Saccharomyces cerevisiae S288C: one gene and its partner. The gene in region 2 interacts genetically with the main gene of each other region. Each region holds a gene or a part of one and is shown on either strand. Other genes may lie near its edges.

What was found. Genes that interact genetically often act in the same process or in processes that back each other up.
Region 1: mutations in NBP35 (region 2) and ULS1 together harm fitness more than expected from each alone (negative genetic interaction), as found in Saccharomyces cerevisiae (one large-scale study listed by BioGRID).

Annotation. Positions count from the first base shown.
Region 1 is NC_001147.6:690,590-697,892, forward strand, and holds ULS1 (translocase ULS1), read left to right. Parts: upstream 1-1,885; coding exon 1,886-6,745; downstream 6,746-7,303. Other genes in the region: SPR1 (glucan 1,3-beta-glucosidase), read left to right, coding at 106-1,443. UniProt on the Saccharomyces cerevisiae protein: ATP-dependent helicase involved mating type switching and in silencing interference through its interaction with the silencing regulator SIR4. Cooperates with UBC4 and UBC5 to mediate ubiquitination of SUMO conjugates.
Region 2 is NC_001139.9:341,536-344,753, reverse strand, and holds NBP35 (Fe-S cluster-binding ATPase), read left to right. Parts: upstream 1-1,711; coding exon 1,712-2,698; downstream 2,699-3,218. Other genes in the region: LIF1 (Lif1p), read right to left, coding at 170-1,435; nucleocytoplasmic transporter NUP145, read right to left, coding at 2,895-3,218. UniProt on the Saccharomyces cerevisiae protein: Component of the cytosolic iron-sulfur (Fe/S) protein assembly (CIA) machinery. Required for maturation of extramitochondrial Fe-S proteins.

The sequences.
Region 1 (7,303 bases), on a different chromosome or scaffold from region 2:
TTTTTACCCTTCTCTTTTAATTGTTCAATTGCGAACAGACCATCCAAAGATTCGAAAGAAAGACTGAGGTGCTCCGCATAAAATCTTTATAAACTTTAGAAGTAAATGGTTTCGTTCAGAGGGCTGACTACACTAACACTACTTTTTACCAAATTAGTAAACTGTAATCCTGTTTCCACAAAAAATAGGGACTCTATACAGTTTATTTATAAAGAAAAGGATAGTATATACTCTGCCATCAACAATCAAGCCATCAATGAAAAAATTCATGGAGTCAATTTGGGTGGGTGGCTAGTATTGGAGCCGTATATTACACCTTCTTTATTCGAGACTTTCCGTACTAATCCGTACAACGATGACGGTATTCCTGTTGATGAATACCATTTTTGTGAAAAATTAGGCTATGAAAAGGCAAAGGAACGCCTTTATAGTCATTGGTCGACGTTCTATAAAGAGGAAGACTTCGCGAAAATTGCTTCTCAAGGCTTCAATTTGGTTAGAATTCCTATTGGGTATTGGGCCTTTACAACGTTGAGTCATGATCCCTATGTTACCGCCGAGCAGGAATATTTTCTAGACCGGGCTATCGATTGGGCTAGGAAATATGGTTTGAAAGTATGGATTGATCTTCATGGAGCCGCTGGTTCACAAAACGGATTTGATAACTCAGGGTTGAGGGATTCATATAAGTTTCTGGAAGATGAAAATTTAAGCGCCACCATGAAAGCTTTAACGTATATTTTAAGCAAATACTCAACAGACGTATACCTGGACACCGTTATTGGAATCGAATTGCTCAATGAACCGTTAGGTCCAGTTATTGACATGGAAAGATTGAAAAATTTGCTTTTGAAGCCGGCTTATGACTATTTGAGAAATAAAATTAATAGCAACCAGATCATTGTAATACATGATGCTTTTCAACCTTACCATTATTGGGATGGGTTTTTGAATGATGAAAAGAACGAATATGGCGTCATAATTGACCATCATCATTATCAGGTGTTCTCGCAGGTGGAATTAACAAGAAAAATGAATGAACGTATCAAAATCGCCTGCCAATGGGGGAAAGATGCCGTAAGCGAGAAGCATTGGTCCGTAGCAGGCGAATTTTCAGCGGCCTTAACAGATTGTACAAAGTGGTTAAATGGGGTTGGTCTAGGTGCCAGATATGATGGAAGTTGGACCAAAGACAATGAAAAATCTCATTACATAAATACGTGTGCAAACAACGAGAATATTGCCTTGTGGCCCGAAGAGAGAAAACAGAACACTAGAAAGTTTATCGAGGCTCAATTAGATGCTTTTGAAATGACTGGTGGATGGATAATGTGGTGTTACAAGACAGAGAATAGTATCGAATGGGATGTTGAAAAATTGATTCAACTCAACATTTTTCCGCAACCTATCAACGATAGGAAATATCCTAACCAATGTCATTGAAATTTTGTGGCATATATTTAAGGTCTTGGGAATGTGATGATTATTATTGGAGAAAAAATTGCCATCTAAAACTCTTTATATAACATGATGAGGTATACAAATAAAAAATACTTTATATCTTATAATTATGCAAATAAAAGTGCTTCCATCAACCGCTACTTCACTTTTTATCTGAACTATGAATGGGGAGCTCATGATGATTACCTGTTGATATTACGTGAGGCGGAAGAGAAGCACGAGACACGGGTCACTCTCGATATTACCGGACAGTTTACTTAGACTATGTAACGAATATGAGAGGAAGAAAAACAATAAATAAATACAAACCTCTCCGCAGTTTTATGAAAGAACAGGACAGGGCGTCTATACCGATTTTTACATCTATCTTTTGAGTGCTTGAAAGGAGACGCTGGACTATATCTTTAGGTTAAACATCTGTCAAATGGCAGCAGTACCCACCATCGACCTTACACTAGCCGATTCAGATAATGAAGACATATTCCATTCTTTTTCGTCTTCAACAAGTGTGGATAAGATAGACATTAGGAAAGAAAATGGGAAATTAAGAATGGCAGGCTTGGAAGTCGCCCAATCTAATGACGATGCAGCACGTCAAGCATTCCATGTTTTCAAGACGAACATATCAAATAATGAAACCTTCGATACTATTCTTTCAAAGAGCAAGACAATCACAGACAGTACCTTCAACAATGAAAAATCTTCCAACGAAGTAAAACAGCAGCAAGTCTTGAAGGAAGAAACGATGGGATCTTCCAACGATGAGAAGAAAACACAAGAGAGCAGCCCAAGCGCAGAGATGATAAAACTTTTTTATGAAAACGATGATGTGCCGTTATCCGATAGTTTTAAACAAAAAGAGGAAGGTAAAAGAATAAATCAGGATGAGCAAGTGAAGGAAAATATCTGTGGCATTTCTTCCTCATACGTCTCCAAAGACTACGATGGCGTTGAAGATGATTTCGAGCCTAATACTTGCCAGGACAGCAATTTGGATTTTCAAGAGGAGAAGTTAAACTTGAATAACAAACCGTCACAGCAACAGTTCAGCGACCCAGAAACAAAAGATAACAGTTTGAAGAGCGAAAACAAAGACCAAATAAAAGGAGTCACAACAACAAGTTATCGTGATTTACCTATTGAATCTAGTGCTTTCCAGGATTCTGAAACTCAAAATAACTCCAAAAACACTATACCTAACATCGTAAATGAAAAGCGAACGCCAGCATTACCGTCCAATCTAAGCTCTGTTGAGAGTTCCCTTAAAAACGAGACGGCCAAAGTAGAGGGGAAGACGACCGTTCGTCTTCCAGGACTTCAAAATAATGTTGCCTTACTTGAGCAAGAACAAAGTGAACTATTCAAGCACTTTAGTGAACAACCTGTCGATATTAGCGATTTTGGTCGTAAGATTAAAAGGAAGCATAGCGGAGATTTTGCAGATAACAAGATACTTAAAAGACCGATATTGCCCTCAAAAAATATGGACCACACAACACATAATTCACATGATTCCGAACAGAAAAATAGCTCGATTATTATTCTTTCAGATGAGGACGAATCTGGTGCCGGTATCAATGATATAGAAAGTCCTTTGAAAGTTTCTGAACCAAATACAGCTGATGCGCTTAGGAGCAGTGTACCAGAAGTCATATCTTTACTTGACCTACCCAATATTGACTTGAATAACTCAGTAATAAAAGAAGCAAGTGGCAGCAATTCAATTCCTACATCAGAAACAGACGCACAATCCTCGAGTTCGTCAGTTCTTCAAGGAACTATCATGACAGAACAAGCTACTCAATCCTCTCAACACGAATGTAACAGTTCACTTGATACTCTAAAAAAAAATCATCAAAAATTATTGAAGGATTTGAATTCTAGAGAGTCTGAACTACGTAATGCTCTCAGTTGCTGCAAGACAAACTCTGAAATTTTAAGAAGGAAACTAAGTAGAAGAGAAAAGGAGGTCTCTGATGCTGAAAAACATTGGCAGTTATTGTTGACATCGATGGCTAGAGGGGGAAGAACTATCAGCTCAACTCAGCAGATATTAGTTGATGAAGCTGAGAACCAATTAAACAAACTGAAGGAAAAAAGACAGTTGACAAAATCGAAGCTAGATTCAATCAATTTGAAAATGTATAATTATAACGAACAATGGAAGTCCTTTGTGCATTCGAAAAATATAAACCTGCAGAAATCTTTGGCTGCCCTTGAGCGGTCAGCCAGGGATAGTAAAGCTTCTGCGACCGTAAATAAAAGAAACGAATGCCTGGCTGAGAAAGAAAAGCTAGACCAAATGTTAAAAGAAGGAACCCTAAGCTTCAGTACCTACAAGCAGTTAACAGGGGAGATCCAGCAGAAACTGAATGACTTGAAACTGGGGGACCAACGCACAACTGATATCAATAGTGTATTGCCAATAGTACGGCAACCTCTCGCCAAAAGAGATTTATTTATTAAGTCCATTGATACTGCAAAAGATTTATTAGCCAAGAACACATCCAGGACAGAAATGACGAAGAGAATTCTTTATAGACATTTGGACAACTTGGTCTCTTATAAAAACTTTTTTGAAGACGGAAGATCCTTAATAGATATAAACAGAAGACACGTTGCACATGAATCGGCCCAAATATTGTTCACCAACGGTGTAAAGATGCCCATTGTTTTTGAAACATTACAAGATTACGGCATCAAGTTTTCTAATCCAGCCATTGTCAATCCTGACAGAAGAGCCCAATATTTTAAAAGCATCGAAGTTGCACGCGATCTCATATCAAAGTCTACTAGATCAGAGGATGCTAAACGAAAGATTACTCGATTTTTGAATATAATTGAAGAATTTCGTAAAGATATTGACACCGGATTTCCACCTACTCCTTTAAAAAGGGAAGGCGTCGGAAAAGCTGTTGTTGGGCTAAGACAACAAGGACTTAAGATGGACAGACTATATGAAAATTTGAGAAGATATAAGATTCCAATAACAAGTGAAGAATTACTGCAGCAAAGCTATTTATTTCCGGTAAACGCAGATCAACGACCTCCTTCAAACTGGAACATCGTGGAAAATACCGAAGATACTAGTTCTACAGCCAATGATCTATCGATGCAAGATGAATTTCACATCTCTAATATGCATGCAGCAGAAGATCAAGAACAGATTAGGGCTCTTTTAGAGAATGTCAAACAATCTGAATCCATTATAGACGGCGAAGCACTTACTCCCGAGGATATGACCGTAAACTTATTAAAACACCAGAGGCTGGGTCTGCATTGGTTGTTACAAGTTGAAAACTCCGCAAAAAAAGGGGGTCTGCTTGCTGACGATATGGGCCTGGGTAAAACGATTCAAGCTATTGCATTGATGTTAGCAAATCGCTCAGAGGAATCCAAATGTAAAACCAATTTGATCGTCGCACCAGTCTCAGTCTTGAGAGTTTGGAAAGGTGAATTAGAAACGAAAGTAAAAAAACGCGCAAAATTTACTACATTTATTTTTGGAGGATCAGGTAACGGAAAAGTTAAGCACTGGAGGGATTTGGCAAGATATGATGCTGTTTTGGTATCTTATCAAACTCTAGCAAACGAATTTAAGAAACATTGGCCGAAAAAACTGGATGGTGAACAAAATCAGCTACCAGCTGTGCCTCATATACAAGCTCTTAATAGGTTGAAAACCTCAAATGAATACTACTCTCCATTTTTCTGCAATGATTCAACGTTTTACAGAATTTTACTGGACGAAGGCCAAAACATCAAGAACAAAAATACAAGGGCTTCTAAAGCGTGCTGTACTATAAATGGAATGTATAGGTGGGTCTTGTCTGGTACGCCGATTCAAAATAGTATGGATGAGCTTTATTCCTTGATAAGATTTCTAAGAATTCCACCCTACCACAAGGAGCAACGGTTTAAATTAGACATTGGAAGGTTTTTTCAGAGAAATAAGCAATATCAATATGATAACGAGGATAGAAAAAACGCATTAAGAAAGGTTAGAGTCCTTCTAAATGCCATTATGCTTCGTCGGTCTAAGGCTGATAAGATCGACGGCAAACCTTTACTGGAGCTCCCTCCTAAAATTGTGGAAGTAGATGAATCACGCCTGAAGGGAGAGGAATTAAAATTTTACACAGCTTTGGAATCAAAAAATCAAGCACTCGCTAAGAAATTGTTGAACAATTCTACGAGGGGGAGCTACTCTAGCGTTCTCACATTACTACTTCGCTTAAGGCAGGCTTGTTGTCATTCAGAATTAGTTGTGATGGGAGAAAAAAAAGCGGAAGGTACAAAGGTAGCTAACGGCAAAAGCTTTGAAGATGACTGGCTCAGGCTCTACTATAAAATCACTCACATGAGCGGAGAAGCGCAGGCTCAGGTTATTACTTCAATGAATTCTATGACATGTTTCTGGTGCATGGAACAATTAGAACCAGAAGCGATGTCCGTTCTGACAGGTTGTGGTCATTTGATTTGCGACACTTGTATCGAGCCCTTCATCGAAGAGTCATCCATGCTACCTCAGGCCAAGAAAACCAAAGGTGGGGCATTTGCTATCCCATGCAAAGATTGTCAACGTTTGACAAACGAGAAAGATATTGTTTCGCACAAGTTATACGACCAGGTAATAAACCAGGGATTTACTGAGGAAGATTTGCATGCAGAGTATTTAAGTGAAATGGAGAAACAAAAAATACAGCAAAAAAATGTATATGTGCCAAATTTTGAGAGTTTAGAACCATCTACGAAGATAGAGCAATGTATACAGGTTATTCAAAGAGTTTTTGATGAATCAGCAACCGAAAAAATTATTATTTTTTCCCAGTTTACAACATTTTTTGAGATTCTCGAACATTTTCTCAAAAATAAACTGAATTTTCCCTACTTGAAATATATTGGATCAATGAACGCTCAGAGAAGATCAGATGTTATCAACGAATTTTATCGTGACCCTGAGAAAAGGATACTTCTGATTTCCATGAAAGCCGGTAACTCAGGACTAACATTGACATGTGCGAACCATGTAGTTATAGTTGATCCATTTTGGAATCCTTACGTCGAAGAACAAGCTCAAGACCGTTGCTATAGAATTAGTCAAACAAAAAAAGTCCAGGTGCATAAATTGTTTATAAAGGACTCTGTTGAGGATCGTATTTCTGAATTACAGAAGAGAAAGAAGGAAATGGTCGATTCTGCCATGGACCCAGGCAAGATAAAGGAAGTGAATAGTTTAGGGCGTCGGGAGTTAGGATTTTTATTTGGTTTAAACGCTCTTTGAAGAACTTGGTGAATTTTGAAGCATTATTGCGATACACATATGTATATGTTGATAATTGGTGGCTAAGCTTCTAGTTTGTAGGCTTAAGTAACTTCACTCGTTGGCACTTACGAGCTTGGCATTTAATGGAACAGAAAATAAGCCGTAAATCGGCCCTACTTTAAGTATAAGAAATATGCGAAATTTGATATGATCGTTTGAATTACTTTTTGAAAAAGAAAATACCATTAGTAACATACAATATAAGAAGCTCGTCTCCTGGATTTGGAAATCCACAAAAGATTATCAACAATGCCACGAATAACATAATTGCTTCCCCCTCCTGTTAATTGCTTTAACTCATTATTGCATCGTTAACAGTTGTTACTAAATTTGATTTTTGTTTCTCATCATATATGTAATCTTCAAACGCCAGTATAATTATACGCTCGCAACAGCTACCATACATTAATGAACCGATGAAAATATCCCGTTTGATGATAACTGGCAATTAAATGACAGTATTAATTAATAATCAAAGCTGATCTTATATTCCTATAAAAGAGAAGCGTATAAAAC
Region 2 (3,218 bases):
CTTTCACGTTCATACAACACCTAGTTTTATTTATTTTCTTTTCAATCTGAGTAGTTGAGTTTTCGATCACTCACATAGAACTATTTTTTGCCATTTAAATAAAGTATTCTCTCAAATGATGCGATACTATAATACTCTTTGCCATATATTACATTCATTCATAAATAGGCTATGTTTCTATATCCGTTTCCGATTCTGTCTGCAAGCAAGGTTCCCTATCATTACCGGATTGTTCACTATGGTTGGAGCTCTTCTTTTCCCCTGCACTTGCATCAGTCTCAGATTCAGAACCAGAAATGTCTCCGTAATCTTCATCCGATCTTCCTGCTGATATTTGAATACCATTGTCTTCTAAAGACACTAAATGTTTTTGAACATCACTGCTACTATCAGATTCAAAACTTATTGATTGTGTGTCATCTCCAAAAGAGGTAATATCATCGTACTTTTCACTGAGTTTATCTTTAGCAGTAATAATTGGCCTTTTAGAAAGTCCGAAAAATTGAAAGTCATCAAAATCGTCGTCTTCCATTTTGATCACGGATTGATTAGATATTTTTCTATTAGCTCTCCTCCGACTTGTGTCTTTCAACTTCTTTTGTAAATTTTGAGGCTCTACTACCGTCTTTCTTCGTTTCATTCTTTTTCCTGGAGAGTTTAACTCAGAAATTGGCTTTTGCACTTCCGTATTAATAAGCGCAGAATCTAAAACATCATCGTCAGACAATTTGATATTATTTTGTCGCAGAATCTCATGAAGCTCTCTTATTTTCTTCTTCTTCTCATTCAACAAGGTTACCATCATTGCTCTGGTTCTTTCATCACGTGTTTCTAAAAGCTTATCCAATAGCTCCCTTTCCCGAGCCAGCTGTTCAACTCGATTTCTATTGCTAGAATCGCTCTCCTTTATATTCCGGTAAGAATCGTTAACACAACAGATATCTTTATAGAGTTTATCTGCCATTTCAAATAAATCAATCTCTCCCTTTTTGACTGGATGCAAGGTAAGTTCAGCGATTTTTCTTATGATCGCCGATGACTCCAACTCCATAACTACTTTCCATACCTCATCATCTTGCATTCTGCACGTCCATTTTGTGAATACGACTTTTTCGTCTAACGATGCAATGTACACTTTGTGACCAGTTAACATTTTGAGTAGTTCATACCACACATATTTCTTAGACTCTTCATCGATATTTTCTCCCGTAAAGATTCGCAAATCATTGATTCCAAAACTGCTTTTGGAAAAAATTCCTGTACCTTCACTTACCAACATTTTCTCTATTCTAAGCCCTGAAAGACTGTTCTCATCTAATGTTTCCAACATAGCGCCATCTTCAATCTGAATCTTACAGAGGCCACGCTCATCTTCTTCATTTTGTTCTTCATTAACCACAGGGATACAGCTAATGAACTCCGTCAGCTGGGACATAGCACCCTACATAAATAAGTCATCCAATGCACAATTCTCTCAGTTCTATGCATTGACACGTCGAAAACTGCCGTTCATCTTATTATTCTTTAATATGGCTTTTCAAAATACGCTTCCGGGTACTTTTTCGGATTCATTAATGGTGTAATTAGTAATGCGTAGAAATATTTTGTATATAATAATAAATAACATGTTTGTCCAACAACTCGTAGGCTAGGCTAAACGTGAAGTCTTTCTGTTTTTGAGAACAACAGTATACATAAGTGATATCCAAGAATGACTGAGATACTACCACATGTAAACGACGAAGTGCTACCAGCAGAGTATGAACTTAATCAGCCGGAACCAGAACACTGTCCTGGTCCAGAATCAGACATGGCAGGTAAGTCCGATGCTTGTGGTGGCTGCGCCAATAAAGAAATATGTGAAAGTCTTCCGAAAGGCCCTGATCCAGATATTCCATTGATCACAGATAACTTGTCAGGAATAGAACATAAAATATTGGTTTTATCAGGCAAAGGTGGCGTAGGCAAGTCGACATTTGCCGCAATGCTAAGTTGGGCACTTTCAGCTGACGAAGATTTACAAGTAGGTGCCATGGATTTAGATATATGTGGACCTTCTTTGCCACATATGTTAGGCTGCATTAAAGAAACCGTCCATGAATCGAACTCCGGTTGGACACCTGTCTATGTGACTGATAATTTAGCCACCATGTCTATTCAATATATGCTTCCAGAAGACGATTCCGCCATTATATGGAGGGGTTCAAAAAAGAATTTATTGATAAAAAAATTTTTAAAGGATGTTGATTGGGATAAACTCGATTACTTGGTAATCGACACACCGCCCGGAACATCTGATGAGCACATTTCAATAAACAAGTATATGAGAGAATCTGGCATAGATGGTGCCCTTGTGGTCACCACACCTCAGGAAGTAGCTTTATTAGATGTACGGAAAGAGATAGATTTCTGTAAGAAGGCTGGTATCAATATTCTTGGACTAGTGGAAAATATGAGCGGATTTGTATGTCCAAATTGCAAAGGAGAGTCCCAAATATTCAAGGCTACCACAGGTGGAGGTGAAGCACTTTGTAAGGAATTGGGCATCAAATTTTTGGGGTCTGTTCCGTTAGATCCGAGGATTGGCAAGAGTTGTGACATGGGTGAAAGTTTCCTGGATAACTATCCTGACAGCCCAGCTTCGAGTGCTGTACTTAACGTTGTGGAGGCTCTGCGAGATGCTGTGGGGGATGTATAGTATATTTTATCAAAAAGAATAAAAGGAAGTGCATTAGAGGTCAAATCGTTTTATAATATAAATATCATTACCTTTAAATCTTAGACCTACTGAAGAACACTTTTACCATATATAATGCTACTAATTACTCCAAAAGCGTTAGCTTCAGTCCATGTTTTACTATTTTTCTTTTTTTTAGAAATAAAAATAAAAAAACTTATATCTTATATGTACACTTCATTAAATCCTGGGCAAACTCACCCCTCAAGTATGCCTTTTCTGGCTGCCCTAGGGGGAGCTCAAGCAATTTGGCCTTCGAATCGCCTATTGAAGGATTGTTTTTCTCCAATATTTTTGATACAATCTCTTGGGACATAACATTACAACATGCGGCCACTTCACGACAGTGCTTATACTGATCATAAAATATCTTCATACCACTAATTAATGAATCGATAGTCTCCTGCGTTTCAACATTATCCAACACAAGCTTTAGATATACTTCAAATACGTTTATACTTACACTCCATTTGTCCCTCTC